Linked DNA regions of Sus scrofa. The protein of the gene in region 6 purifies or fractionates together with the protein of the main gene of each other region. This does not show direct contact. Links are inferred from orthologs where the notes say so. Each region holds a gene or a part of one and is shown on either strand. Other genes may lie near its edges.

Region 1 (3,435 bases), on a different chromosome or scaffold from region 6:
CCACCCCGGAGACCTCCAGGCTCATATCCTCTTGGTCTGGCCTGGTTCCCTGGTTCCAGACCCCTGTTGGGCCCTCTTCCTCCAGAGCCTGAGTACATGGTACTTCTCTGAGATCTGGTGTTATCTGTCAGGTGGGGCGGGCCTCTCTCCCGGGACAGGAGGCGACCGTGATGTGATGTGATAGGGATGCGGGAGGTGTTGCTTCCGGAACCCCCTGACCACGTCCCATGGCTCCACACCCATGATCCCAGCCCTTCCTGCCCTGGCTAGCCAGGCCTGGGGGTCTTGATGCTGACCAGGGCCTTCTCCTGTGTGCCCTGGGCCAGTCCCTTGGCCTCTCTGAGCCTTGCTATCCCTTCTGTGAAGTGTGGATTCTCCTCTTCTTTCTCCCAGGCTTGTTTTGAAGATCGGTGTGGTTGGAAAGCCCTGGCAGGGTGGCTGTCGTAAAGGAAGCGCTTGAGCAGTCAGCCCCCTCTCTCCCATCCTCTGGTGCTCAGTTCCCACAGCTGGAAAACTAGTGGATAGTGCCCCCAATCCAAGGACATTTTCCGTTTGTTTAATTCATCAACGTTTCCAGGGAGTTCCCGTCGTGGCTCAGCGGAAACAAATCTGACTAGTATTTTTGAGGACACAGGTTCAATCCCTGGCCTCGCTCAGTGGGTTAAGGATCTGGCATTGCTGTGGCTGTGGCGTAGGCCAGCAGCTGTGGCTCCAATTCACCCCCCAGCCTGGGAACCTCCATATGCCTCGGGTGGCCCTAAAAAGACAAAAAAAAAAAAATTTCCGTATGGCCCCTGTAGGCTCAGCTCTGTGCTGGATGGGGAGTCAGGGACACCCTTGCCTTTGGGTTGTTGACATAAAGGCAGAGGGTGATAACTACCACTATTTCTGTGGACTTACCACGTGCCAAACACACTGACAAGCACTCATGCTGGATTATTTCATTGAATGCTGGGGACACTGAATTCATTTTGCAGATGAGGCTAAGATAGGTTAAGTGACTTGCCCACGGTCACCAAGGTGGTAAGAGCTGGGCTTCAAACCCGGGTCAGCCTTTAGAGCCACAGAGGATCTCCAGTTGCACTACGGGCGTGACCTCTGCAGAAACGGAGGCGTCTGAGCCCAATATGGAAAGTCAGAGGAGGCACCTAGGGGGGTGGGTCCCTGGTTTGGTGTGGAGCCGGGCCTTGGAGGATGAGACCGGGACGGCAGGGTAGGGACTCTCAGAGGCCTGCAGGCTGGGGCTGAGTGTTCTGAACGATTATGGCGAAGACCCCGTCCCGTGCCGCTTCTGGCTTCCTTGACCACCGGCACAGCTGGCCGTGCAGACCAAGCGGGTGGCCTCGCAGGTGGACGGCGGGGCTCAGGTGCAGCAGGTGCTCAACATCGAGTGTCTGCGGGACTTCCTGACGCCCCCGCTCCTGTCCGTGCGCTTCCGGTGAGTCGGGAGTCGGGGCGCTGGCTGGTGGGCGGGGCTTTCCGGGCGAGGGCGTGGTCTAACCCGAGGCCGCTCTCCCCGCGTCTCCCCGCAGGTATGGGGGCGCCCCCCAGTCCCTCACCCTGAAGCTCCCGGTGACCATCAACAAGTTCTTCCAGCCGACGGAGATGGCGGCCCAGGACTTCTTCCAGCGTTGGAAGCAGCTGAGCCTGTGAGCCACGGGCGGCGGGGCCGGGGGGCCAGGGCCGGGGCCGCCCTCGGGGAGGGGCAGGGCGGGGGCTTCCGATCCCCGACCTGAACCTTTCCCGGCCCCCAGACCCCAACAGGAGGCGCAGAAAATCTTCAAAGCCAACCACCCCATGGACGCGGAGGTCACTAAGGCCAAGGTGAGCCAGGCAAGACAGGAGAGGCCCTGCTGGGCTCACACCCCAGCCCCACCTCTCTCAAGGTCTGGGATTTGGGGAGTGGCGGCCGCTCAGCTTCTCTGAGCTTCTGTTTCCCCAGGAGGGTCTGGGGGGATTTGGTGTGTCACTGTCTGGGAGCTAACAAAGCCCGGGCACCCTCTGACGGCCACCCACTTCCTCCCCAGCTCCTGGGGTTTGGCTCTGCGCTCCTGGACAACGTGGATCCCAACCCTGAGAACTTCGTGGGGGCTGGGATCATCCAGACTAAAGCCCTGCAGGTGGGCTGTCTGCTGCGGCTGGAGCCCAACGCCCAGGCTCAGGTGCGTGGTGGTCTGGGAGGCCCCTGCTATGTTCTCTGCACCCCGTCCTCCTGCCTCACTCTGTCCTTTAAGTCATGTGTCCCCGTGCCCCTCCTGTCTCTCCATCCTCCCTGATTTGCATCTCCCCACAGCCTCTCCACTCTTCTTGACCTCTTATCTTTCATCCTGTACCTCCTGTCACCCCGGTCCTTTATGTCACCTTTCTGATCCCTTTATCCTTTTTCTCTCATCATTTATCTGCCCTGTATCCCCCTCTTCCTCCTCCTCTTGGGGGAGGAGCTACCTGCACCATCCCTCTGCCACCTCCCTGAGTCCCACTGTCCCCACCAGATGTACCGGCTGACCCTGCGCACCAGCAAGGAGCCCGTCTCCCGTCACCTGTGTGAGCTGCTGGCCCAGCAGTTCTGAGCCCTGGACTGTGCCCCCGGAGATGTGGCCGGTGCCGGGCAGCCCCCAGGACTGAGGCAGCTGTGGTGGATGGGGCAGTAAGGGGACCTCCGCTGGTGACAGGGAAGACCCTGGGGTGGGGGGATGCCTAGGACCTTCCTCTGGCCTTTTGTATTTTTATTTTTGTTCATCTGCTGCTGTTTACATTCTGGGGGGTAAGGGGGAGCCCCCTTCCTCCCTTCCCCCCCCCCCGAAGCACAGAGGGGAGAGGGGCCAGGGAAGTGGGCACCTCCTCCCCTCCCACCCCACCCCCCGGTAGCCCCTCCTGCCCCCTCCCCATCCAGGGGCTGTGTATTATTGTGAGCGAATAAACAGAGAGACGCTAATAGCCCCGTGTGCGTGTCTGTGTCTGGCGCTCAGAGGAGCGGGGTGAGGGCATGCAGGGTGTGGGTGGCCAGGCCCCGAAGCCCGTGCGTGGGACTCTGAGCAGACAGCAGCAGCAGCAGCCGCCGTGGCCCCAACTGCAGGGCCACCAGCCGCCATCCGATGCCCGGCTCCTCAGGCCCCGACACCAGGTAGCAGGCTCTCGGCACCTGGGCCCGGTGGACCGCCTCCTCCACCTTCTCTGGCTGCCCGGGCTCTGAAGGAAAGACAGGGAGGGCTGGGGTGACCAGTGGGGCCTGGACCCCTAGGATGCCAACCTGCGTGGGAGTCTCCCCCATCTTGGGCCCAAGTTTGACTCCTGACAGAGGGGAGCCCCACAGCTCCAGCTGGCTGTCAGGACCTAAGAGGTCACGGACTTTCTGCCCTCTTCCTACCCAGCCTCCGTCCCCCACTTTCCTGGCGATCCTGTGTATGCAAGCGCCAGGCGATCCCCTTGGCAATA
Region 2 (3,500 bases), on a different chromosome or scaffold from region 6:
CCAAAAGGCCATTTATAAGAAGTTAACATTTATGAGAAAACTTATTTTTATTTTCTTCCAGAAAAGCCTTTTGTTGCTTTTGGCAGTGGCATGGACTCTTTGGTGGAAGCCACCGTGGGAGACCGCGTCAGAATCCCTGTGAAGTACCTGGGTTACCCTCCCCCAGAAATAAAGTGGTAACTACTGAAAATAAATGCAAAGCATTGTTCCACATGGAAGCAAATCCCCAGAGGGTACTGATTCCTGTTTTGTTCCCCCCTCCCCAAACAGGTATAAAAATGGAAGACCCATTGAGTCCAATCACACAATCAAAGTGGGGCATATACTGACTATCATGGAAGTGAGTGAGAAGGATACCGGAAATTACACTGTCGTCCTTACCAATCCCATTTCAAAGGAGAAACAGAGCCACGTGGTATCTCTGGTTGTGAATGGTAAGTCCATTCATTTTTCCGGAGCACTGCTGTTGAAATCAGGTGTGGGGCCATGTGCTCTGGATGCATTTGCTTAAGAGGCCACGAGAATGAACCGTTTGGTGGTCAGATGCAAAACTCAAGTAGATGGTACAGCCAGTGGCTAAATGCTGTGGAACAAGAGTGTCTGCAAGTTGCACTACCTTTTATTTGTGAACCTGGCACTCAAATGTGTACAACTCTTCTTGAATTTTGTGAGACGCTTATAGTTTGATGTCAGGGTTGATGTAGCAGTGATGCACAGGCAGATTCCAATGCATAGGCATTTGCAGGAGGACGTCGTTGGCTGGTTGGAAGCTTTGTAATTTTTTTAAGTAATAGGCTAGGTAGGATCTGACTCTGAGGCTATAAAAAGGAGATACTAAGTTTTTGATTTAAAGTGATTTGAACTTTATTTTTCCAAATGGGGAGATGTAAATAAGTGTTTTGCATGAGGGGAAAAGGGCCTTATGGTCAAGTAGGTGTGGGAGATGCTAGGGGGGTGGATGTCGTATGCCGCCATACGCCGGCGGGGAGAAACATAGAGTAGCCAAGACTTAATAAACTTACTTGACCAGAGTTCCCCTACCCCACACAGCCTTTAATATCTTGCTCCAAACAGAGTTTGGGAAATTCTTCTCTATTGGAATTCTTTGTGCTTTCTACTGGCCCAGCAGATTAAGACTTCAGGATCTTGCGAGTTCTCATCATGGCTCAGCAGTAATGAACCCAACTAGTATCCATGAGGATGTGGGTTCGATCCCTGTCCCTGCTCAGTGGGTTAAGGATCCGGCATTGCGGTGTAGGTTGCTGACGCAGCTTGGATCCTGTGTTGCTGTGGCTGTGGCGTAGGCTGGCAGCTGGAGCTCCGACTGGACCCCTAGCCTGGGAACCTCTGTATGCCTCGGGTGCAGCCCTAAAAAACAACAACAAAAAGACTTGAGGATCTTCTCATATGACCTTAAAGTGCTTCCCCAAATATCCTGCCAAGCTCTGTATGTGTGCTGAGCTTGGCTTCATTTCTTTGGGGCATCAGCTTCAGGGAGTATTTTTAACATAATAGTTTCCAGAAATGTCATTTAGAAGCCACTCGAGCGTAGGGGCTTGGGGAGTGGAGAGAAGCAGGGAGGCTAAGTAGGGTGGGCAGAAGGAAATGAATAGGAAATAAAGATGTAAAACTGGACAGGGAATAATTCCATCTCACCCAGGAAGTCACTAAATATTTGATTCACTCTAGCATTTACCTTGCTCTATTATGCAAATGTAAAAGAGGAGTCATGTTTTGAAGGTATAATCTGAGGCTTTAGGTTGATAGTGATGAGAAATAATTTCACATGAATGGCTTCGAGTCAAAGAAAAAAAAGAAAGAAAAGGGGAGGGAGAAAGAGGGAAGACAAGAAAGGAAAGGAGGGAGAGAAGGAAGAGAATAAGAAAGGAAGGGAGAGAAGAAGGAAGGGAAGGAGGGAGGAGGAAGGAAGAAGGGAAGAAGGAGGGAGAGAGGTGTGCGGGGTGACCTTGGGCAAGTCATTTCACTCTCATTATCTTTCACTTTTCTCATGTGTAAAGTGGAGGACAGTAATAGTGGTTGTGAGGATTAAATGAATTAATTGATGTAAAGCACTTAGAACACTGCTCACACATAATACATGTATGTACTGGATTAATCACCACTAATTTTTTTTCACTGAAGCTTGGTCTGATTTGTGAGATTGAAAGGACTATCCTTATAACATGGTTTTGAAAAAGTGAGGCACAGGGTGGCGAGACTTGCACAAAGTCACTCAGTTTATTAATTTATTGATATTATTAAAATCATGAACATCACTCTGAATATCATTAGAAGTCAGGTGTCCTGTCTCCCAGTCGACATGTTCTTTGAAAAAGCAAATGGGGGCAAAAATCCCATGTTTGGAAAGACAAAGGCTTTAATTTCTGACAACATCTACTTTCCATGCCTCGTAGCTGATTTACAATTCAAAAGCTGTCTCTCTCATCTCCAGTCCCACCCCAGATTGGTGAGAAATCTCTGATCTCCCCCGTGGACTCTTACCAGTACGGCACCTCCCAAACGCTCACCTGCACAGTCTATGCTGTTCCTCCCCCGAGCTACATCCACTGGTATTGGCAGCTGGAGACCGAGTGCTCCTATAAGCCCACGTGAGTAGAGCCACACCCTCTTTTTTCCTGTCCTTTTGTGTTTTTAAAAATTTTTATTCTTTTGTTGTATGTTTTAGATCCCACATGTAAGTGATACCATACGGTATTTGTCTTTCTCTGTCTGACCTATTGACTTAGTAGAATAGCCTCCAGTCCATCCATGTTGCTGCACATAGCAAAATTTCTTTCTTTTTTATGGCAGCATAGTATTCCATTGTGTATATTGTGTGTGTGTGTGTGTGTGTGTGTGTGTGTGTGTGTATCATATCTTCTTTATCCATCCATCTGTTGATGGACACAGCCAAGCTACAATATGACCCCATTCTAAGTAGAGAGGGCTCTCTCTAAGAAAGTCACTCCTCAAGTAGTACCTTTAATGTCCCTCCATCTTTCTCTGTGGTTGTTTTTGGGACATGTTTTTCTTCTAGATATCCCACTTCGAGATTAGCTAACTCTCTCGTCATATTAGCCTTCATGTCCACCTCTGCAAATGCCGTTTCTTTGTTCACTTTGTTTATGGCCAGTCTTTGGCTTTTCTGTTTACCAATCAACCAGTGACTGTCACAATCTCCTTATCTGTGAGAAGGTCCATCTCAGAGGAAGTGCCAGTGGATGCAAGAGAACGATAGACCTTGGAGTCTCAGGCCTGGCTTATCAGGTCCTAACACAAGTCCAGACATCCTTAGGAAAAAAACAACAACAAGTCACCCACCACCACCCTAAGCAGTTCACTTCCTGTTGTTGTTTTTGAGATGGTCTCTCCTAGTTTCTTCCTCAGATGCTGACCATTTCCTACACAAAGGCCACAGTCCCAGGGAGATTACTTTAAGAAGCCCAGTGGCTTCTTAGTTTCCTTGCCTTCCTTTGAACTAAATTAACTTGAATTGTCTT
Region 3 (3,500 bases), on a different chromosome or scaffold from region 6:
GTCTCCCGTGTCTGGGGGCGGGGCGGGGGGGACGACTCTGCCCTGGCCCCCGGCCCAGGCCACGGCCGGGCTCCGCCGGGCCCTCCTCCCGGGCCCTCCCGGGCTCTGCCGGGCCGGCCGCCAGCCGCGTCCTGTTTGCTGGGGCCCCTGTGGCCTCGGCGTCCCTGGCCTCTTCCCCGCTCTTGCCCTCGAGCCGCCCTGCCTCCCCTGGCTTCCCACCACGGGTCTGCCTTCCGGGCGCCCCTGGCCTCGTCCTCAGGAACGCTCTGCAGGGGCAGGGCGCTGCCTTCTCCTGAGCGCCGTCTCCACCGCCCGCCTCCTGCCTCTCTCCGACCTGCGTCCGTCCACGGGCCTGGCTTCCTGCTGCCGGCTTTGCCCCCTTTCCCCGTTTTCAAAACGGATCCCAGGCTGCTCCTCCCAGCATGTCGGCTCCCCCATCTCTCTGGCTCTGGGGATCCTGGGCCTCTGCCCTCCTCACGCTGCCCTCTCTCTGCTGATCTGAAACCCCGCCGGGGCGGGGGGAGCCCGAGGGAGACCTGAGTCTCCAGGGACCCCGCCAGCGGAGTTAGGACGGCAGAGGGCTTCCTTTACGGTTCCCTGGTCTCTGGGTCGACAGCGCGGCTAATTCTTTGCCTTGCGGGCTGGAAGCGGCTGGGGCCGGGCAGCTTGGAGTGCTGCTCGCCTTCTGTCCCGGGCTGAAAACAGACTTTAAAAAACTGAGGTATGGTTGATGCACTTACTGGTTTCAGATGTACCACAGAGCAGTTCCCAGCTTTAAAGATTTTATTCCACTTAAAGTTGTGATAAAAGAGGGGGTTATTTCCGTGGGTTGCACCGTAGGTCCTTTTAGCTTATCTGCCTACTGGGTGCGTCTCAGACGCTCCCCCCACCCCACTGGGAACCACCAGCCTGTTCTGGGTGTCTGCTTGGTCCTGCGGCGTCATCCTCGTTTCGTTTCAAAGTCCACGTGTGCCGCTGCCGCGGTGTCTGTCTGTCCCTGACTTACTTCGCTCAGCGTGACACCCTCCCGGCCCGTCCGTGTTGTTGCAGATAACGAAGTCTCATTCTTTCATGGCTGAGTGGTGCCCCCAAGTCCGTACACACCACATCTTTATCCATCCTTTACTTTTTTGTCTTTTCGGGGCCATACCCATGGCGTATGGAGGTGCCCAGGCCAGGGGTCACATCGGAGCTGCAGCTGTCAGCCTACACCGCAGCCGCAGCCGCGCCAGATCCCGGCCGCGTGTGCGGCCTGCTCCACAGCTCACGGCAACGCCAGATCCTTCACGCACTGAGCGAGGCCAGGGACCGGACCTGCAACCTCGTGGTTCCTCGTCGGATTCGTTCACCACTGCGCCACGACGGGAACTCCTGGGCTTTCTTTGCTTTCCATGTTTTCTTCTAGGAGTTGTACGAGTCCAGATCTCACGTTTAGATCTTTAATCCTTTTGCGTTATCCTTGTATGTGGTGTGGGAAGGTGTTCTGCTCTTCTTCTTTTACACGTGGCGTCCAGTTTTCCCAGCGCCGGGGACATCGGGGCGGAGAGGGCTCAGTGGCATCGGCCGCGTGGCCCGCGGGGCAGCCAGGCGGGGCTGTTGGCCATACGCAGGCTGGAGGCCGGTGCCTGGTGGAGGGCGAGCCTGCGGTCCGACCTGAGCGTGTGCGTGTGCCCTGGAGCCCTTGTCCTGAGTCAGCGGGCAGCCGCAGGTGGTTGGCGGGCGCTTGGTGAGGAGCAGAAGGACTGACCCTGGCCCGGGGCCACGTCTCGGGTCGCGCCCGTCTCTAGCGGGGGGCCTTCGTGCTGTTCGGGCTTGTTTTCCTCCTCCCCTCACGGCCCAGAGAGGCTTTGCCGGACCCCGTGTTCTTTACACCCTTTCTCAGAACGAATCTTTGTATTTGGGGCGGCGGCTTTGGGTGGGTCACACGCTGTCTCTTGTCCCCAGGTTTGTCTGTAAGAATAACGGAGTCTTGTTCGAAAACCAGCTGCTTCAAATTGGACTGAAGTCCGAGTTTCGGCAGAACTTGGGTATGTGTTTAACTGAGTGGAAGCGTCTCTTAGAAGTTACGGGGAGAAGGTATTTTCTGATTAGGTATCTCATAAGGGTCTAGTTTCTGGAATGTGTAGAAGACTCCCAATCAACAACAGGAAAACAAGCAGTTAAAACCGCGGGTGGCCTCCCTGGCCGCACAGCGGGCCAAGGATCCAGTGTTGTCACCACTGTGGCGTGGGTTTGATTCCTGACCCAGGAACGTGCACATGCGGCAGGCGCGGCCAGCGACCCCCCCCCCCCCCGAAAACAACTCCAAAGGCTTTTTGCGCCCCCTCCCCCCAGCCTTTCCCATCTCTGGGCCCCGCCTGCAGCCTGGTCTAGACGCGGGGCAGGCGGGGAGGCGGGGGGGCCCCCAAAACCCAGGGGGCGGTTTCGTCCTCGGCCGGTGGGGGCTTAGACGCTGGCCGTGGCTTCTGAGCTCGGGGAGGGTATTGCCCCTGCCATCCTGTCCAGGATGGGCGGCTCTCAGCCCTTCCTGGCTCGGAGGCGCCCCCGGCGTCTCTGTCGGGGCGCCGAGGACCCGCTGGCGAGCCGGCTCTCCCGCCTCCCAGGTCGCATGTTCATCTTTTACGGAAACAAGACCTCCACGCAGTTCCTGAGCTTCACGCCCACGCTCGTCTGCTCCGACGGCCTCCAGGCCAATATCCTTGTGCCGTGGCCCCGGCCCTCCGGGGTCCAGAGGCGGGTTTTGAGGTTCTGTGTAGGGGTAGGAAGACGCGCCTGCAGCCTCAGGGTACCCTCCCGGGCCCCGGGTGTGCGGGCGCCGCCTGGGAGGGGCACGCAGGCCTGGCCTGGCCCCCCAGCTCCAATCCCCGCCAGGCAGCGTGAGGGCCGGGGCGCCTGAGACCTCCTGAGGCCCGAGGCCTGGGACGTGAGCTGCTCCCGCCACCGTCAGTCAGCCTCGCTGCCCAGATGTCCGCTCTGGCGCGGGGGCCGCTCGGGGAGGTGAGGGGAAGGCCCGGCTGGGCCACGGAGACGCAGCGCGGCCTGGCCATTCCTGCGTTAGGGGAGTGTGTTTCACACTCAGACTCTTAGAGGCCGACGTGTGGGTGGTCGCTGCAAAGGCGCGCGTGGAAGGCTGCGGCCGGATCAGGACGTGCCCCCCCCCTCCCCCGCGCGCCTCTGCCCCTGGGGCCCACTTGGCCTGGCCGGCCGCCTTCCCCGCGCTGCCCCGGCTTCCTTGACCCTCGCACATCTGAGCCTGCGGACCCAGCCCGTGGGCCCCACCGTGGACGGGGGCGCACAGGTGCAGCAGGCCGTCAACATAGAGTGCCTGTCCGACTTCGCAGAGGCGCCCGTGCTCAGCGTCCAGTTCAGGTGGGCCTGGGGTCGCCGGCCGCGCCTGCCGGACTGCCCCCTCCTCCCTAGGGTGTGGTCGGCGGGGGCTGCAGGGAGCCTGTGGGGGCGGGGGCGAGAGGGCGCCTAGGGTCCGGGGCGCCTCCTTCCAG
Region 4 (4,232 bases), on a different chromosome or scaffold from region 6:
GAAGCAGAAAGATGAAGTTCCTTGGTGGCCTAGTGGATTAGGGATCTAGTGTCACTGCTATGGCTCTGGTCACTGCTGTGCCACAGATTCCAACCCTGGCACTGGAACTTTCCCATTCCCCAGGCAAGGCCAAAAAAAAAAAGCAGTGGAAATCTTAACTGACCTAGCAATGGCCCCCTGTAAACCTGTAACTAACACACGCCTAACGGATGGAGTTAAATGCTGGTATATAATCAGCTTGAAACAAGCCCCCTGTGTGTAGACTATCCCAACGGTTTTCTACAGTGGAGACATTTCCAAGACGGTTCCCAGGCTTACTTAAAAGGGAAATTGAATTGCTGCCCCCCCCCCATTGGCCACGTCCACTAGTTGTCTGCTCAAGCACTGGGCATGCACTTCCTCACGGTGCCGCTAGATGGCAGGGCCGCGCGCCCTTGGGGCGCTTTGTGGAGATTCGCGGGCTCACTCAACACCGTGGACGCCACGCCTTGCAAATTATTAGGGACTTTTCGGTAGCAATCATATTAACGCCTTTTGCATACTGGAATTAGAACCGCGGTGATGAGGGTAGGATTGCAAAACTGCACCCACCCTTTTGAAAGGGCGTCCAGTCCAGGAGAATTAGAGGGACAACCTCTTGGGAGTAAAGCAAAGCTGCCCGGCGGTCCCCTCGCCAAAGAGGGGCCCAAGGAGCTTGTCCGAGGGGCCACAGTCCTGGGTTTCCGCGAGGTGACGTGATGGCCCTGCAGCTGCCTGGCTTTTGTGAAATGGAAGTAAGGGTGGTGGCAATTTGTCTTTGTGCCTTGGGGTAAATCCTGGGAATGTTCTAGTCGTAACACTACGTGAGAGGAGCCTAGGAGGCAGGTCCTGCCAGGGTGAAGAATCATCTGCTTTTTTCCAAACCGGCTTCTCTTTACCCGGTGGGCACATGGAGCCAAATCCATGCCTGTCTGCAAGCATGGACATACATCTTTATGCTCTGCGTTTGTACAATGGCCTCACTGGTGGGAACATAGTTAAGGTAGCTTGAAACATAATAAACTGCCTATATGCCCCAATGTTTATCTACCACCTCCCCCCTCAAAAATAACCCCAGGCAATTTAAAATGATTCACCAAACAGTGACATATTTGTATACATCCATAATTACATTAGTAAATTCATGTGGTAGAAGGGGTGCAGTTTGAAAACTATTAAAGCTTTAAAGTTACACATTTCTAGTCTGCTCTATAGTTTTACACAAATGAATATTCCCGTCTTTTCCATATTTACTGCCAGAGTATACGATCTACATATATGAGTCAGAGGTTCATCAGCGGATTTTGCAGCGGAGCGGATCAGAGGGGCAGGGGAAGCTGGGTTGAGCAGAGAACGACCACTCTCAGCGCCGCGCCCGCCCCGCGTGGAAAGCAGGATGTCCCAAAGCGGGAAGGGCCGGGGGGCCTCCGGGCCAGGAGCAATGAGCGCGATCGCCTGGGATTTGCAGCAGGGAAACTGAGGCGGGAGGTCGGGGAGGTGGTGGTGGGGGTGCTCCCCGAACCAGTTCCTTGGCAACGCCGCCGCTCCGACCCTCGCTACGCACCCTTCGCGCCGCCTGCCGCCCGCCCTCCTCAGGATTGAGGAAGTGTGTGTCTGGCCCGGCCCCGCGAGCGGCCAGAGGCGCAGGGGCGGAGGGCAGAGGGGCGGCCCGGCCCGGATCCGCCGTCTTCCTCCCCGCCCGCGCTCAGCGCAGAGTCCAAGGCGCCGGCCGCCTCAGGTAAGCGCCGCCGGGCCCGCGCCCCGCCAGGGGACCCGCCGCCAGGCCCCGGGCGCAGGGCGACCCCAGGGCTCATGGCCCCGCCGCCTGCCGCCGCGCTCACGGGGCACGAGGCCCAGGCGGGGAACCCGAGACCCCCCGGGACGGGGCCCGGGCAGGGAGAGCAGACTCGAGCAAGGAGTACTTCTCCCTCCGCCTTTGGAAAAACTCGCTTCCTTCAAGTCGGAGTGGCCGTGAGAGCGCGTGTGCGTTGTGTGAGCCTGAGAGTGAATGTGCTTGTGAGCGAGAGTGTAAGCTGAGTGTGAGCGCGGGGGTGTGGGGAAGCAGCAGCTCCCTGCCCCGACGGCCTGGTGCGCGACGGCCGGCGCATCTTCATCCCACCCTCAGGCTGAGGCCCTCTTCTGGCCTGAGGGTCGGATCTCCGGCGGTGCGGATAAAACCCCGCCACCACCTTGGCGGTCTCTGCGGCGACCTCCCGGCAGAGGCGCAGGAGATGAGCGCGGATGTGGTGGAATGAGGAAGGGAGCCGAGGAAGGCAGCCGAGGAAGGCTGCCGAGGAAGGCTGGGGGTCGGAGGGATATGATAACGAATAATTGGGCGACTTCTGTGCTGGGCTCGACCAGCCCCTCTTTGTTTGAGGTCAAGAAGCTTTTCTCTCAGGAGCACATCCCCCTGCAGGGGTCTGAGAAGGAGAGATACGGGAGCCTGTAGTTTGTTTTTGGTGAGCCTCTCACCAAACACACCATTTTCAGACTTTGTCACTTATTGTGTCCAAATTCCCCTGGGCCTTAAGGGGACAACTAGAATATGCAGGATTTGGAAAAATGTTAACATTCCCCTCCTTTGGTCGTTTGGCTTCATTATCTTTGTTTATGCCCCGGAAGAATAAAAAAGTTAGAAACATACAAACCTCACACCTAATTTGTCCTGCAGAAGGTTTTGGGGGCCCTGCCCCAAGCCTCCACATCTCAGGGGGTGGCCTCATACTAAAGGTAGTAGGCACAGTTGCTCAGATCAAAAACCTAGGAGTCGTCCCTTGTCCCAACTCCTCATTCCTTGAATTCAATGGTTAGCAAGTCCTGTTGGGTCTCAAAGGTGTGTGGGGTCCATCCCCTTCCTTTTTATGGCCCACTCTAGTCCAAGCCACCAGCATCTCTTACCTGTGCAATTGCAGTGCTTCCCATACGCCCAGTCTCCATTTGGCAGCCATGGTGATTTTTTTTTTTTTAAGGTAAATTCGAGAGTGTCAGTCTTCTGCTTGTAACCCTTCAATAACATCTCCTTATGCTTGTCACGAAATCCAGAAGACCTCCTCCCGTCCGCATCCCTGCAGCTGATCTGGCTTCTGCCGTCTCAGATCACCTGGCCATTGCCTCCCCACCCAGCCACCCCCTCTAAACCCAGCCTCACTCTCACATCTCTCTGTGTATGTCCTTGCAGTTGCCAATGGCTGTGTGTTCCTACTCTATCTTTTGAATTACTCCTTTAATTTACCTGAAAGTCTCCATTGGAGACTCCAGGTGTCAGAGACCTTTCCAGAGTCCCTGCTCACTGTTGCATCTTCACTCCCAGAGCTGCTCCAGAGGGTTCCAAATGCATACAGGTAGAGAGACAGTGGTGGAAAGACAGTATGAACTTGTTTGTGGCTTTAGGCTCACAAAGGGCTTCTGTTCTCATCTGGGCCTGAGAACTACACATTTCTACGGTTTGTAGCACCGTAATATTTTGATGTCTACAAATCTATTAAACACATTTTGTAGGCAAGCCAGTAGTGGTCAAGGAGGCTAGTTGTGCCAAAGGGATGTCTCGGACCATGGGCCAACCATCTCAACCAGGCTTTTGATTCAAAAAAAGACCTGGGAGTTCCCGTCGTGGCGCAGTGGTTAACGAATCCGACTAGGAACCATAAGGTTGCGGGTTCGGTCCCTGCCCTTGCTCAGTGGGTTAACGATTCAGCGTTGCCGTGACCTGTGGTGTAGGTTGCAGATGCGGCTCAGATCTCGCGTTGCTGTGGCTCCGGCATAGGCCGGAGACCACAGCTCCGATTGGACCCCTAGCCTGGGAACCTCCATATGCCGCGGGAGCGGCCCAAGAAATAGCAAAAAGACAAAAAGACAAAAAAAAAAAAAAAAAAAAAAAAAAAGACCTGGGTGGGAGTTCCCGTGTGGCTCAATAGGTTAAGGACCTGATGTGTCCCTGAGAGATATGGGTTTGATCCCTAGCCTCACACAGTGGGTTAAAGATCTGGTGTTGTTGCAGGCTTCATCCTAGGTCACTGAGGCGGCTCTAATCCAGGGTTGCCTGTGCCACAGCTCTAGCTCTGATTCGACCCCTGGCCTGGGAACTTCCATATGCTGTGGGTGTGGTGCAGCTGTAAAAAGGAAAAAAATAAAAAAAAAATAAAAGGCTGGATGATAAGAGCATTTCTAACATGCTTCACTTGTGCAAGTTTCTTCAGGCTCTTTGGTATCTGCAC
Region 5 (3,500 bases), on a different chromosome or scaffold from region 6:
CAGCCCCTAGCCTGGGAACTTCCATATGCCATGGGTGTGGCTTTAAAAAGCCAAAAAAAAAAAAAAAAAAAAAAAAACCATTTTTTTAAATAAGTTATTTTTGTAAAAATGGTTTGGAGCATTGAGTAAGAATATGTTTACTTTTCATAGGTCATCAATATACATCATATGTATGTGTATATATAACTAATCTGTATCAGTTCAAGCAAAAAAGAAATGTGTTATTATTCTTTAAGAAATAACTCTCGGAGTTCCTGTAATGGCTCAGCAATTAGCGAACCTGACTGACATTCATGAGGACCCCAGTTCAATCCCTGGCCTCATTCACTGGGTTAAGGATCTGGCGTTGCCATGAGCTGTGGTGTAGGTCACAGGTGGGCTCAGATCACATGTGGCTGTGACTGTGGCGTAGCCCTGCAGCTATAGCTCCGATTTCACCCTTAGCCTGGGAATCTCTGTATGCGGCAGGTGCAGCCCTAAAAAGACAGGAAAAAAAAAAAAAAGAACTCTCAAGAACAAAAAGTACTAATGAATAATGAAGCTCATTGAAAAGTAAGCCTTTGTAAATTTGAATTTTTTATGATTTTCTCAAGTCTTTTTCTTTATGATAGACAGTAACTGTTCTTAAATGTTGTATGAAAGCTTTATTAATAAATGTTACTTCTTGGAGTTCCCTGGTGGTACAGCAGGTTAAAGATCCAGTGTTGTCACTACTGTGGCGTGAGTTCGCTCCCTGACCTGGGAACTTCCACATTCAGGCATGGCCAGAAAAAATATGTTAGTTTCTTAACTTTTCCTTTTTGGTAGCCACAAACAGATTTATAAGGTTACTGAATTATTGTCACCTATTGTCATTCATAACTCAATTGCTTTTTTGAATTACCACCACCTTGTCGCAATGATAATTAGCCATTATTGATGACTCAGTCCTTGTTAAAAACAGACTCTTCTGTCCAGCGTATGTAATATATTTAGCCACTGATTGAAAACGTGCTTGAGTTTTACTAACATGTATGATCCTAGTTTTATTCAAAATCTTAACATATGAATATTGACAAGGTTCTTCATGATAGTAACATTAATTATGTAGTAGAACTGCAAAGAAAACAACTTACACTGTACATTTACAGAATGCTTTCATTTTTAATAACAACGCCATAAAATAGATTGGGGAAGCTTTTTATAAGCCTCATTTGACATATAAGAAATATGAGGCTCAGAAGTCATATAATTTTCCTGAAAGATCACACCGAAAGTGAGTTGAATTTTATCTTAGGTTTTGTGTCTTCAGGTTCCTCTCCACTATGTTGCTTCATTCTCTGTATATTTATCTTGCATAGCATCCCATTGCTTACAGCAGTAGTGTGGGAATCAGAATTCTAAGAGCAAATTACACACTTCAAAAAAGACTCACCTGTGTGTTTACTTCTGTGCCACGTCCTATGATAGTTAAAAGATAATTTTTCCTCCTCATTTCTTTTTGGTAGTATGCATCTGAGAAACTGCACATTACTCCCTATCACAAGATATGATGTCTTTTAACACTGTTTCTACTCCTTTTTTTTTTTAACATGGAAAACTTGGTGGGATGTTGATTTGGATAGTAATACATAGGAAGACTTTTTAAAAGAGTAGTATATTTTATGACGTTTAAAATGTATTACAGTAGAAAGAGTTGAATCAATGTTATCTTTATCCTTAAATAAAATAGGCTTATTTTTTTGTACAGAACTGTTCTGCTTGTTCAGATTTGTCATTTTTTACTTTGCAGCAGTTAGAAGAGAAGAGTGAAGATCAAGAAGACAAGGAATGTTTGAAACAAGCAATAACAGCTTTGCTTAATGTTCAGAGTGGTATGGAAAAAATATGTTCTAAAAGTCTTGCAAAACGAAGACTGAGGTGAATAATTTCACTTTTTAAATTATCTTCCTTTTCACCCTGAATATTGTGGTATAAATTAAGGGATCCTAGTCCCTACTCAAGTAAACAATGAAGAAAATAGTGTTAGTGACAAGCTTGGTCTTTCAAAGGAAGTGACATCAAAGCCAAGAGAATTTGTTATTGTTTGAAAAACCTTTCATATTTGTGCATTTTCCTTGCATACTCCCAGACAAGACCTCCTGAGAATCAGCTGGTAAGCTAAAGGAGAAATACAATGTATTGGGTAGGTTTATGTCAATCTCTGAAAATAAAATTAGTAGTGTTCTTTATTTTAGGGACTTTGTAACTCAAGGCATTAATTCAGATAATATACTTCCAGTTTCCTAGTTATTATGTGTGCATGTTTTTTAGCTTTTAGATATTGTCCACTTAAGCATTCCTAGATAATTTTTAATCTCTTAAATTACTTTAATCTCTTTTTTTTTTTCACTATATTGGGCTACTTTTTTAATATTTGTCATTCTAAGTATTTAATAGCCGTAGTAGAAATAATCATTCTGTAGCTAAATTTATAGGGGAGAATTTTGTCAATAGCCAACTGTTCTTTTTAAAGCACTAAAAAAAAAAAATGTCTCTACGGTATTGATTTAGTTTCCAAAATTGTGCAGTTCTGTTAACACTAACATATTTGGAGAATTAGTGAAAACCTTCTCAATGCAATGTTTTTAAATATACTTTTGCATTTCCATTTATTTACATGAATTATAGATTCCCTGTCTTCTGTGTACTAACTGTTTTTTCCTTTATCCCAGTGAATCTGCATGTCGGTTTTATAGTCAACAAATGAAGGGGAAACAACTAGCAATCAAGAAAATGAACGAGATTCAGAAGAATATTGATGGTTGGGAGGGAAAAGACATTGGACAGTGTTGCAATGAGTTTATAATGGAAGGAACTCTTACACGTGTAGGAGCCAAACATGAGAGACACATATTTCTCTTTGATGGCTTAATGATTTGCTGTAAATCAAATCATGGGCAGCCAAGACTTCCTGGTGCTAGCAATGCAGAATATCGTCTTAAAGAAAAGTTTTTTATGAGAAAGGTACAAATTAATGACAAAGATGACACCAGTGAGTACAAGCATGCTTTTGAAATAATTTTAAAAGATGAAAATAGTGTAATATTTTCTGCCAAGTCAGCTGAAGAGAAAAACAATTGGATGGCAGCGTTGATATCTTTACAGTACCGGAGTACACTGGAAAGGATGCTTGATGTGACAATGCTACAGGAAGAAAAGGAGGAGCAGATGAGGCTTCCTAGTGCTGATGTTTATAGATTTGCAGAGCCTGACTCTGAAGAAAATATCATATTTGAAGAAAACATGCAGCCCAAAGCTGGAATTCCAATTATCAAAGCAGGAACTGTTATTAAACTTATAGAGAGGCTCACATACCATATGTACGCAGGTAAGAAATATGAACTTGCCTATCACTTTTATTTTCCTGTTCAGGCTGATTTTTCTTCGCTGCACAGGTCATTGTGCCTAAAATAGAAATCAGACTAACAACAAAAGACCTCCGCATTATCAGAGTTCATCTTCTTCTGATTTAAAATACT
Region 6 (3,966 bases):
CCCATCCCAAGCCCCTCTCTCCTCTCCCACCACCTTGGTGCACTCCCCGACTCACCGGGTCCCCGCCGGACGCAAACGAGATGGATTGCATATGGTGGTTGGCGATGATCTGAGGGTTAGGGCAGAGGATGGAGAAGGAAGGGAAGGACGGGTGTCAGGCAGCCTGAGGGTCCACTGGGCACCCCCCACCACTGGCCCGGGACCCCAGCGTCCCTTTGGCTTCTCAACCCATGTCCTCCTAATCTACACCTTCCCTACAGCTCTGCTGCGCCCAAGGCTTCTCTGCTAAGTTCTTGCCCTCGTGGCCAGGTTCCCACTGAGCCTTCCCATCGGTGTTTCTGCACGCCCTCACCCCCCGCCCTGACCCTGACTCCACCCCACCAACCTGTTTGCAGTCTGCGGCCATGAGGTTGAGGCTGCTGGTGGAGACGGTGAGAGTGATTGGCATTCCAGCAAATTTCAGGTTACTCCTCCCCAGGATGGAGCTGAGTGGGCGGCCACAGGGCTGGGGAAGGGCCCCAGGTCTCAGAAGCTGGGAGATCCCACACCAGGAAACCGCCCGCACTCCTGCCCTTCTCCCCACACGCGCCACACTAGCCTTGCCCCTGCTCCTCCGCATCTCCCGGCAGCATCCCCCGTGCCGTGGACCCCAGGTACCTTTCTCCTCCTTGTCGCCCCCTTCGCACCCGGCACAGCCTCACACACCAGACTGATGGCCTCCCTGGGGAAAGAGGGGTACTCAGACCCAGAGCCTGCCTCCCACTCGGCTGGGGCTGCCACAGGGCTGGGGGAGGGGAAGGCCAGGCCAGACTCCAGGGGCACTCCAGGCTCTTTGTCGTGGTGGATTGAATTAAGGGCCTTTAATATTTGATGACACTGAGAGGCCGCTTCCTGGCTGATTGGGTTAGGGCCTCAGTGGGTCTGGCCCCACCCCCTTCCAGCTACCAAATGTCCCAGCCCCTTCCCAAAGGCGGTGGTGGTGGTGGTGGTGGTGGTGGCGGCAGTGGTGGTGGCGGCGGTGGTGGCGGCGGCAGCGGCGGGCAGCAACCTTCCATCTACCCCCATTTTCCACTCAAGCTCCAGCTGCCAGCTGCCTCTGCCACCTCCCCCACAACTCCCCAGGCTGGATACGTAGAAGGAGCCGGGTCAGAGTTGTCTCTTTTCATTGAGACTTAGACTGACTCTCCTACCTGTCTCTAAATCGCCTTCCCCACCCAAAGACAAGCCAGCACTAGCCACCACCACCAAGCGACCCCCTCCCGGCCTGAATGCCAGGAGCCCTGCGCTCTCGGCCCCGCCTCCCCACGAACCTGGTGACCTGAGTCCGGGTGTTGAAGTCCAGGGCGCGCATCGACTGCAGGACCTCCACACAGCCCATGTACTGAGGGGAGGGATGCGAGGAGGAGAGTCAGCCGCCCCCCTCCAGCCTCTTCACAAAGGGCCGTAGGACTCTGCCCTACGTGGTCCCTCAGGGAAGAAGAGATGAAGTTCTGCCCCGCTGCCCGTGGCTCCATCCCACAGAGTGCAGGACAATAGGGGGTGAGGAGAGAAGGGCGAGCTAGGAGGACCTCCTGCACAGTGGGGGGTGGGGGGAGGGAATTTGGAGGGGAGCGACAGGCCCTGGCTGGGATGGAGTGACAACTCCAGAAAGGGGGAGCAGACTGGAGGGGAGTCACTCAAGAGCCACTCATTCCAACACTTACTAAGGGCCTGTCCTGGGCTTTGTGCTGAGCATGGCAGGCTGGGGGTAGGGGTGGGGGAGTCGCAGGACCCAAGGGGACCCAGACAGAGCTGGAAGAGAAGGGGCTACAGAATCAGAGAAGGCGCACAAAAGGCTTAAGAAACAGGACACGGAAACCAAGGGAGTTGCTGGGGAAAAGAAGGGGCGAAAAAGAGAGACTCATGAGCAGAGGAACTGAAGGGGTCAGGGAGGGAGGACGCTCACTCACCCGAACCAAGTAGGAAACCCCGGGTCCCATGACTTTGTCGTTGGGATGCAGCCAGCCCCGCGTGGGCTTATTGACGAAGCTCCCGTGGCGGGTCCACTCCTCGCCCCCCAGCTGGCCCCCTTCCACCCGAGTCCTGCGCCCGCCGCCTCCACTCAGCTTGTTCATGTCCTGGAGGAAGGGTAGGGGGCCCGAGTCGGGTACAGCTGCCCCGACGGTCCCCTCCCCATCCTCGGCTGCCCTTCCTGGCTCCCCCTTCGGCCCTGGGCGCCCCCCAGCTGGGTTGGCCAGCTTCAGGTTGCTCATCCGGGGGAAGAAGGAGCACAGGGTGGTGGGGCTGTCGTCCCCTGGCAGAGGTGGCAGCATGGGCCCCAGGGACGAGGCTGACGGGGAAGGCAGCTCCTCTGGTGGAGTGGACCCTGAAGCCCCCTCCTCCAGCGATGACAGAGACTCATTCCGAAGTGGGTTGTACTTGGGCTTGGGGGGCAGGAGATCCATGGCTGGAGTGAGAGGGAGGCTGCTGCCCAGCCTGGCCCCCCTGCCAGTCAGGGCAAGGGGGCCAGGCAGGGGGCATCCCCAGGCCCTTAGCCTGATCGGACCTCTGTGGCCCAGGGGTCTCAAGGGTCCTGGGGAGGGAGAGGGACAAGTGGCTCTGGCTCCCGCGGCTCAGACCCAGACAGTTCCAGGCCCCATCTCTGCCCAGCGTGGAGCCTCTTCTCTGGCTGAGAGGAGAACAGGCTGGACCTAGAGCTGCCTGGCTCCTCCCCAGGGGCGGGGAGCAAAGGGGAGAGACCAATCCCGTGGACAGTGCTGACTCACAGGCTCTGAGGGGCTGAGCCCCCAACACCGCCCCAACCTAGAACTCTTTCGGGGCAGAGTGCACCGTGCCCCCACCGCCCGCCCCACCCCCGTCCCCCCCCCCGCCCCCACCCCGGCCCACCCCGTACAAACAACATGTAATCTAGGGAGGAGTAGAGTGGGATTGGAAGGGAAGGATGGAGGGGTGAGAAGGAAAGGAGGGCGATAAGAGGAGGTCTGGATCAATCCAAACCGGACATGGGCAGGTCAAAGGGAGCAGGAAGCTGGTGGGGGGAGTGGGGAATGAGGGAGGAAACAGAGGCAGCTGGGGGTGGGAAAGGGAGGGGATCCCTGAGCTCAGCATTTCCCTTCCTGTCCTGGTCGAACACTCAGATTCCCTCATCCCCCAGCACCCCCTAGTCTCGGTCATTAGCATCCTCCGCTGCAACAGCCGGGGAGGGAGCTACAGAAATGGGAAAAGGAAGGACATGGTCCCGGTGGATGCAGAGAGGGGCCAAGGGGAAGGGCAGAGCTGGTGAAGTAAGGGAATGAAGTCCCTTACTTCATCATCATGATGGGTGTTGCATCAGGGAGCCACCAGGCAGGAGCCGGAGCAGACGACAGGCTGGTGGAGGCTTGTTCTCTGCATGGCGTCTACCATGCCAAGGAGCAGCAACTCATGCCAGGCACCCTTCTGCAGCCCCCCACCACTTTCCGCAGCCAAGCAAGTTATCAAGGGTAGGAGGGGTGGGGGCTGCCAGGGCACTGACACTAACGTCAGTGCCCTGGACCTGCAGGTAAGCTCCTACCCCTCCTCTGGCCGTAGGGACCCTAGAGAGTACAGGTATCCACCACAGAGCCCGAGGCCCCACCCCGCCAGGGGCAGCGTCTGGCTGGGGAGGGGAGAGTGAAACAGTTCTCCAAGAGGAGGGGGACGGGGGCTACAGGCCACGAAGGGATAGGGTAGGCAGAAGACCAATCTGTGCCAAGGGGAAAGGAGTGCCAGGAAAAGGAGGACTGAGGCTGGACACAGGAAACAGTCTCAAACCCATTCCTTCCACCCACAGCTTCACGCCAGCTCTGCTCGAGGGGGCCATGGAGGCAGCTGGAAAGTGACCAAGAAATAAAGAGTGAAAGATATATATAGCCCCCCAGGCTGGCCTCGGAATATCTATCCTTAAATTTATCTCCCAGGATAAAAAGACAGCAAATAATCATAGGA
Region 7 (3,283 bases), on a different chromosome or scaffold from region 6:
AGAAAAAAAAAAACCATAAATGTGGATGCTCAGGTGGATGCTCAGGTCTATGCCCAGCAGATAGTAAACACCCAATAAATGGCCACTGCTTTTACTCACAAGTCCTACCAGCTGAGAGTCCTGGCAGCCCCAGTCCTCGCCCTGTTTCTCCAGCAGACCTAGGAATGCAGAGGCCAGAGAGGACCCCTCAGCCTCAGAGGCCCCGGGCCATGGCACCAGGCTGGGCCAGACCAGCCTGGGAACCCCTGGGCCTGCTTGGGGGTTTTCTGAGGCTCTGATTTCCTACAGCCCTTAAGTGCTAACCAGGGCCCCTGCTGGGTTGCAGCTGCTTGAACGAGACACAGGCAAGAGGCTGGGAGTGACAGGGAACATCAGAACCCACCCCTTCTTCAAGACCATCAACTGGACTCTGCTGGAGAAACGTGCAGTGGAGCCACCCTTCAAGCCCAAAGTGGTACGTGATCCCACTCTGGTGGGGGCCGCCTCCTTGGTGTTGCCCACCCCCACAGCCTTCCAGGGTGGGTGCCTCCTCTCTTGCCCTGTCTCTCTCCTGCATCTTTCACATGCCTTCCTCCTGTCCTTTCTCGTAGCAAACCTGGCTTCCCCTGAGTCACAGCCTTTACCCTTGCATTCTCACCCTCTCTTCTCACTCAGTCATTCAACGAACACTGGGGGCTGTGGATTCAGCCACCCTTTAATATACATTCTTTAGCACCCACTGTATGCAAGGAACTGTGCTTTGGGAATCACAGTTAAGGCTTGCCTCCACCCATCCATCTTCCAATAAGCATTATAAGTGCTGAGTGCCTTCTGGATACAGACCACTGTGCAAGGCTGCACAGCAAAGTGGGACATCCCATTTCTAGAGCTGGAAGAGCTCCAGCAGCTCAGAGAGATAAGAAATCTGCACCCTAATGGTCATTTATGATAAATGGCAGTGATATAAGAGATGTCCACACACAATCAGTTGCCCTTGAGAGGGTCTGTCAGCAGGAGCCCAAGATGCAGAGATGGGGTTGGGTCTGAGAGGAAGTAGGATGTATGGGAGGCGTTCCGGGTAGAGGAGGGGTGGTGTGCACAAAGGCCTAGGATCTAGAGGCTGCCAAGGAGCCAGCAGGAGAGCAGAGGCTGGTTGGACTTCCCAAAAGTCGGACTCCGTGGCCCTTGTCTCATCACAGGTCCTCCTTCCTCCCCCTTTCCTCTCCTTTGCTTCCCCTCTTCCATCAGGATTTGTTGTTTCCACTGAGCAGCCCGTAAAAGGTGCCCCCATATTTGTGTCTTGAGGCTGCAGAGCTCTCCACTCCAAGGATCAAACTTGGGTGCCTCCTGCACTGGGCATGTTGCTCCCAGGACAGACTGGCTGTGGGAAAATCCCATAGCCTGCTTTGTCTCTCACTTTTGATAGAAAGGAGGATAGATTTAAACAACAAAGGCAGGTGTGTTGGTCAGCATCCTCTGTCTCTGGGAAGTGGTGGGGCCTGTGATGAGCTGGCCAAGGGGGTTCTAGCACCAAGAGTGGATGCACTTGACAGGAAATGGGACCTAGGCTGCTCTGCTCTGCCAGTTTTCAAAAGAAGCTAGAAATCTGGATTTTTATGTCAAATGGCCCAGTTTAAAAATAATGGCTCGGAATTTCTGTTGTGGCTAGGTGGGTTAAGAATCTGACTGAAGTTCCCGTCGTGGTGCAGTGGTTAACGAATCCGACTAGGAACCATGAAGTTGCGGGTTCGATCCCTTGCCTTGCTTAGTGGGTTAAGGATCCAGTGTTGCCGTGAGCTGTGGTGTGGGTTGCAGACGCAGCTTGGAGCCCCCATTGCTGTGGCTCTGGCTTAGGTCGGTGGCTACAGCTCCAATTGGACCCCTAGCCTGGGAACCTCCTCATGCTGCAGGAGCAGCCCTAGAAAAGGCAAAAAGAAAAAGAATCTGACTACTATCCATAGGGATGTGGGTTCAATCCCTGGCCTCACTCAGTGGGAATCACAGTCAAGGCTCCTGGTATTGCCATGAGCTGTGGCCTAGGTCACAGACACAGCTCGGATCCTGCATTGCTGTGACTGTGGCTGGCAGCTACAGCTCCCACTGGCCCCTGGCCCGGGGAACTTTCACATGCCACAGGTGTGGCCATTAGGAAAAAAGAGGCTCAAATGCCATTAAAACCCACAGCTAATCACAGTGGTTGTACCTGCAGCTCAGTTTCGTCTGAGGTCCACCAGCTTTCTTTCACCCTTTCATTGTACCCTCAGAAGCAGAGAATTGGCTAACTTCCTGCGAAAAGCCTAATAGTAAATATTTTAAGCTGGAGTTCCCATTGTGGAGCAGCGGGAACGAATCCAACTAGGAACCATGAGGTTGCAGGTTCGATCCCTGGCCTTGCTCAGTGGGTTAAGGATCCGGTGTTGCTGTGAGCTGTGGTGTAGATTGCAGACATGGCTCGGATCTGGCATTGCTATGGCTGTGGCATAGGCCGGCAGCTACAGCTCCGATTAGACCCCTGGCCTGGGAACCTCCAATGCCGCATGTGTGGCCCTAAAAAGGCAAATATATATATTTTGGGCTTTGCAAGCCAGATAGTCTCAAAGCAGCTGTAGATGCTACGTCAATGAGTGGGTGTGGTTGTGTGCTAATAAAACTTTATTTATGGACACTGAGATTTGAATTTCATTTGATTTTCATGTGGCATGAAATGTTATTCTCTTTTTTATTTTTTTCCCTAAACATTTAAAAATGCAAAAGCCAATCTTAGCTTGTGGGTCCTGCACAAACAGGTGGTGGATGGGGCTTGGCCAGGACTGTCGTCTGCCAGAGCCTGGCTTGGAGGGATGCCCACCTGGCCTCCTCCAGGTCAGACCCCCACTGCTTGCATCCCTCAGACCCTGGGGAAACAGCAGCCAACTTTACAAGGGAGACTTCTTTTTCAGTTTTCAATAAGGACAGCTCTGATTTGGCCCAGTCCATCAGGGGTTCAGTTTCCAGGGGTGGGTCTCCGAAACTTTGGGAACCTCCAAAAGGTCATCCCTTGAGTCCTGCTTATGTACCCCTGCCCTCTGCTTGCAGAGGTCCCCTGGAGACTACAGCAACTTCGACCAGGAGTTCCTGAATGAGAAGCCACGTCTCTCCTTCAGCGACAAGAATCTCATCGACTCCATGGACCAAACAGCATTTGCTGGCTTCTCCTTCCTGAACCCCAAATTCGAGAGGCTCCTGGAAAATTGAGGTTCCCAGACATGCGCCACCCCTACCCCTACCCCAGCCAGGGAGCTTTGGGTCAGCCAGCTCCTTCTGC

What was found.
Region 1: the proteins of SHC1 (region 6) and AP2A1 purify together in Homo sapiens (affinity purification with mass spectrometry; 4 studies listed by BioGRID and IntAct, counting the BioPlex papers as one, with this or other methods). This does not show direct contact. The link is inferred for Sus scrofa from reciprocal best matches to the Homo sapiens genes SHC1 and AP2A1.
Region 2: the proteins of SHC1 (region 6) and KDR purify together in Homo sapiens (affinity purification with western blotting; 3 studies listed by BioGRID and IntAct, with this or other methods). This does not show direct contact. The link is inferred for Sus scrofa from reciprocal best matches to the Homo sapiens genes SHC1 and KDR.
Region 3: the proteins of SHC1 (region 6) and AP2A2 purify together in Homo sapiens (affinity purification with mass spectrometry; 4 studies listed by BioGRID and IntAct, with this or other methods). This does not show direct contact. The link is inferred for Sus scrofa from reciprocal best matches to the Homo sapiens genes SHC1 and AP2A2.
Region 4: the proteins of SHC1 (region 6) and LRRK1 purify together in Homo sapiens (affinity purification with mass spectrometry; 3 studies listed by BioGRID and IntAct, with this or other methods). This does not show direct contact. The link is inferred for Sus scrofa from reciprocal best matches to the Homo sapiens genes SHC1 and LRRK1.
Region 5: the proteins of SHC1 (region 6) and SOS1 purify together in Homo sapiens (affinity purification with western blotting; 14 studies listed by BioGRID and IntAct, with this or other methods). This does not show direct contact. The link is inferred for Sus scrofa from reciprocal best matches to the Homo sapiens genes SHC1 and SOS1.
Region 7: the proteins of SHC1 (region 6) and PRKCD purify together in Homo sapiens (affinity purification with mass spectrometry; 3 studies listed by BioGRID and IntAct, with this or other methods). This does not show direct contact. The link is inferred for Sus scrofa from reciprocal best matches to the Homo sapiens genes SHC1 and PRKCD.

What each region holds. Positions count from the first base shown.
Region 1 is NC_010448.4:54,820,972-54,824,406, forward strand, and holds the end of AP2A1 (AP-2 complex subunit alpha-1), read left to right. Parts: coding exon 1-23; intron 24-1,314; coding exon 1,315-1,438; intron 1,439-1,532; coding exon 1,533-1,649; intron 1,650-1,754; coding exon 1,755-1,824; intron 1,825-2,027; coding exon 2,028-2,162; intron 2,163-2,492; coding exon 2,493-2,570; 3' UTR 2,571-2,935; downstream 2,936-3,435. Other genes in the region: FUZ (protein fuzzy homolog), read right to left, coding at 2,966-3,189.
Region 2 is NC_010450.4:41,839,368-41,842,867, reverse strand, and holds part of KDR (vascular endothelial growth factor receptor 2), read left to right. Parts: intron 1-61; coding exon 62-176; intron 177-270; coding exon 271-434; intron 435-2,452; coding exon 2,453-2,609; intron 2,610-3,500. UniProt on the Homo sapiens protein: Tyrosine-protein kinase that acts as a cell-surface receptor for VEGFA, VEGFC and VEGFD. Plays an essential role in the regulation of angiogenesis, vascular development, vascular permeability, and embryonic hematopoiesis.
Region 3 is NC_010444.4:621,708-625,207, forward strand, and holds part of AP2A2 (AP-2 complex subunit alpha-2), read left to right. Parts: intron 1-1,944; coding exon 1,945-2,027; intron 2,028-2,603; coding exon 2,604-2,693; intron 2,694-3,245; coding exon 3,246-3,369; intron 3,370-3,500. UniProt on the Homo sapiens protein: Component of the adaptor protein complex 2 (AP-2). Adaptor protein complexes function in protein transport via transport vesicles in different membrane traffic pathways.
Region 4 is NC_010443.5:139,492,694-139,496,925, forward strand, and holds the start of LRRK1 (leucine-rich repeat serine/threonine-protein kinase 1), read left to right. Parts: upstream 1-1,432; 5' UTR 1,433-1,756; intron 1,757-4,232.
Region 5 is NC_010445.4:101,321,068-101,324,567, forward strand, and holds part of SOS1 (son of sevenless homolog 1), read left to right. Parts: intron 1-1,771; coding exon 1,772-1,899; intron 1,900-2,693; coding exon 2,694-3,349; intron 3,350-3,500.
Region 6 is NC_010446.5:94,821,668-94,825,633, reverse strand, and holds the start of SHC1 (SHC-transforming protein 1), read right to left. Parts: upstream 2,801-3,966; 5' UTR 2,445-2,800; coding exon 1,950-2,444; intron 1,382-1,949; coding exon 1,311-1,381; intron 722-1,310; coding exon 658-721; intron 506-657; coding exon 386-505; intron 110-385; coding exon 56-109; intron 1-55. UniProt on the Homo sapiens protein: Signaling adapter that couples activated growth factor receptors to signaling pathways. Participates in a signaling cascade initiated by activated KIT and KITLG/SCF.
Region 7 is NC_010455.5:35,317,179-35,320,461, forward strand, and holds part of PRKCD (protein kinase C delta type), read left to right. Parts: intron 1-325; coding exon 326-454; intron 455-3,054; coding exon 3,055-3,213; 3' UTR 3,214-3,283.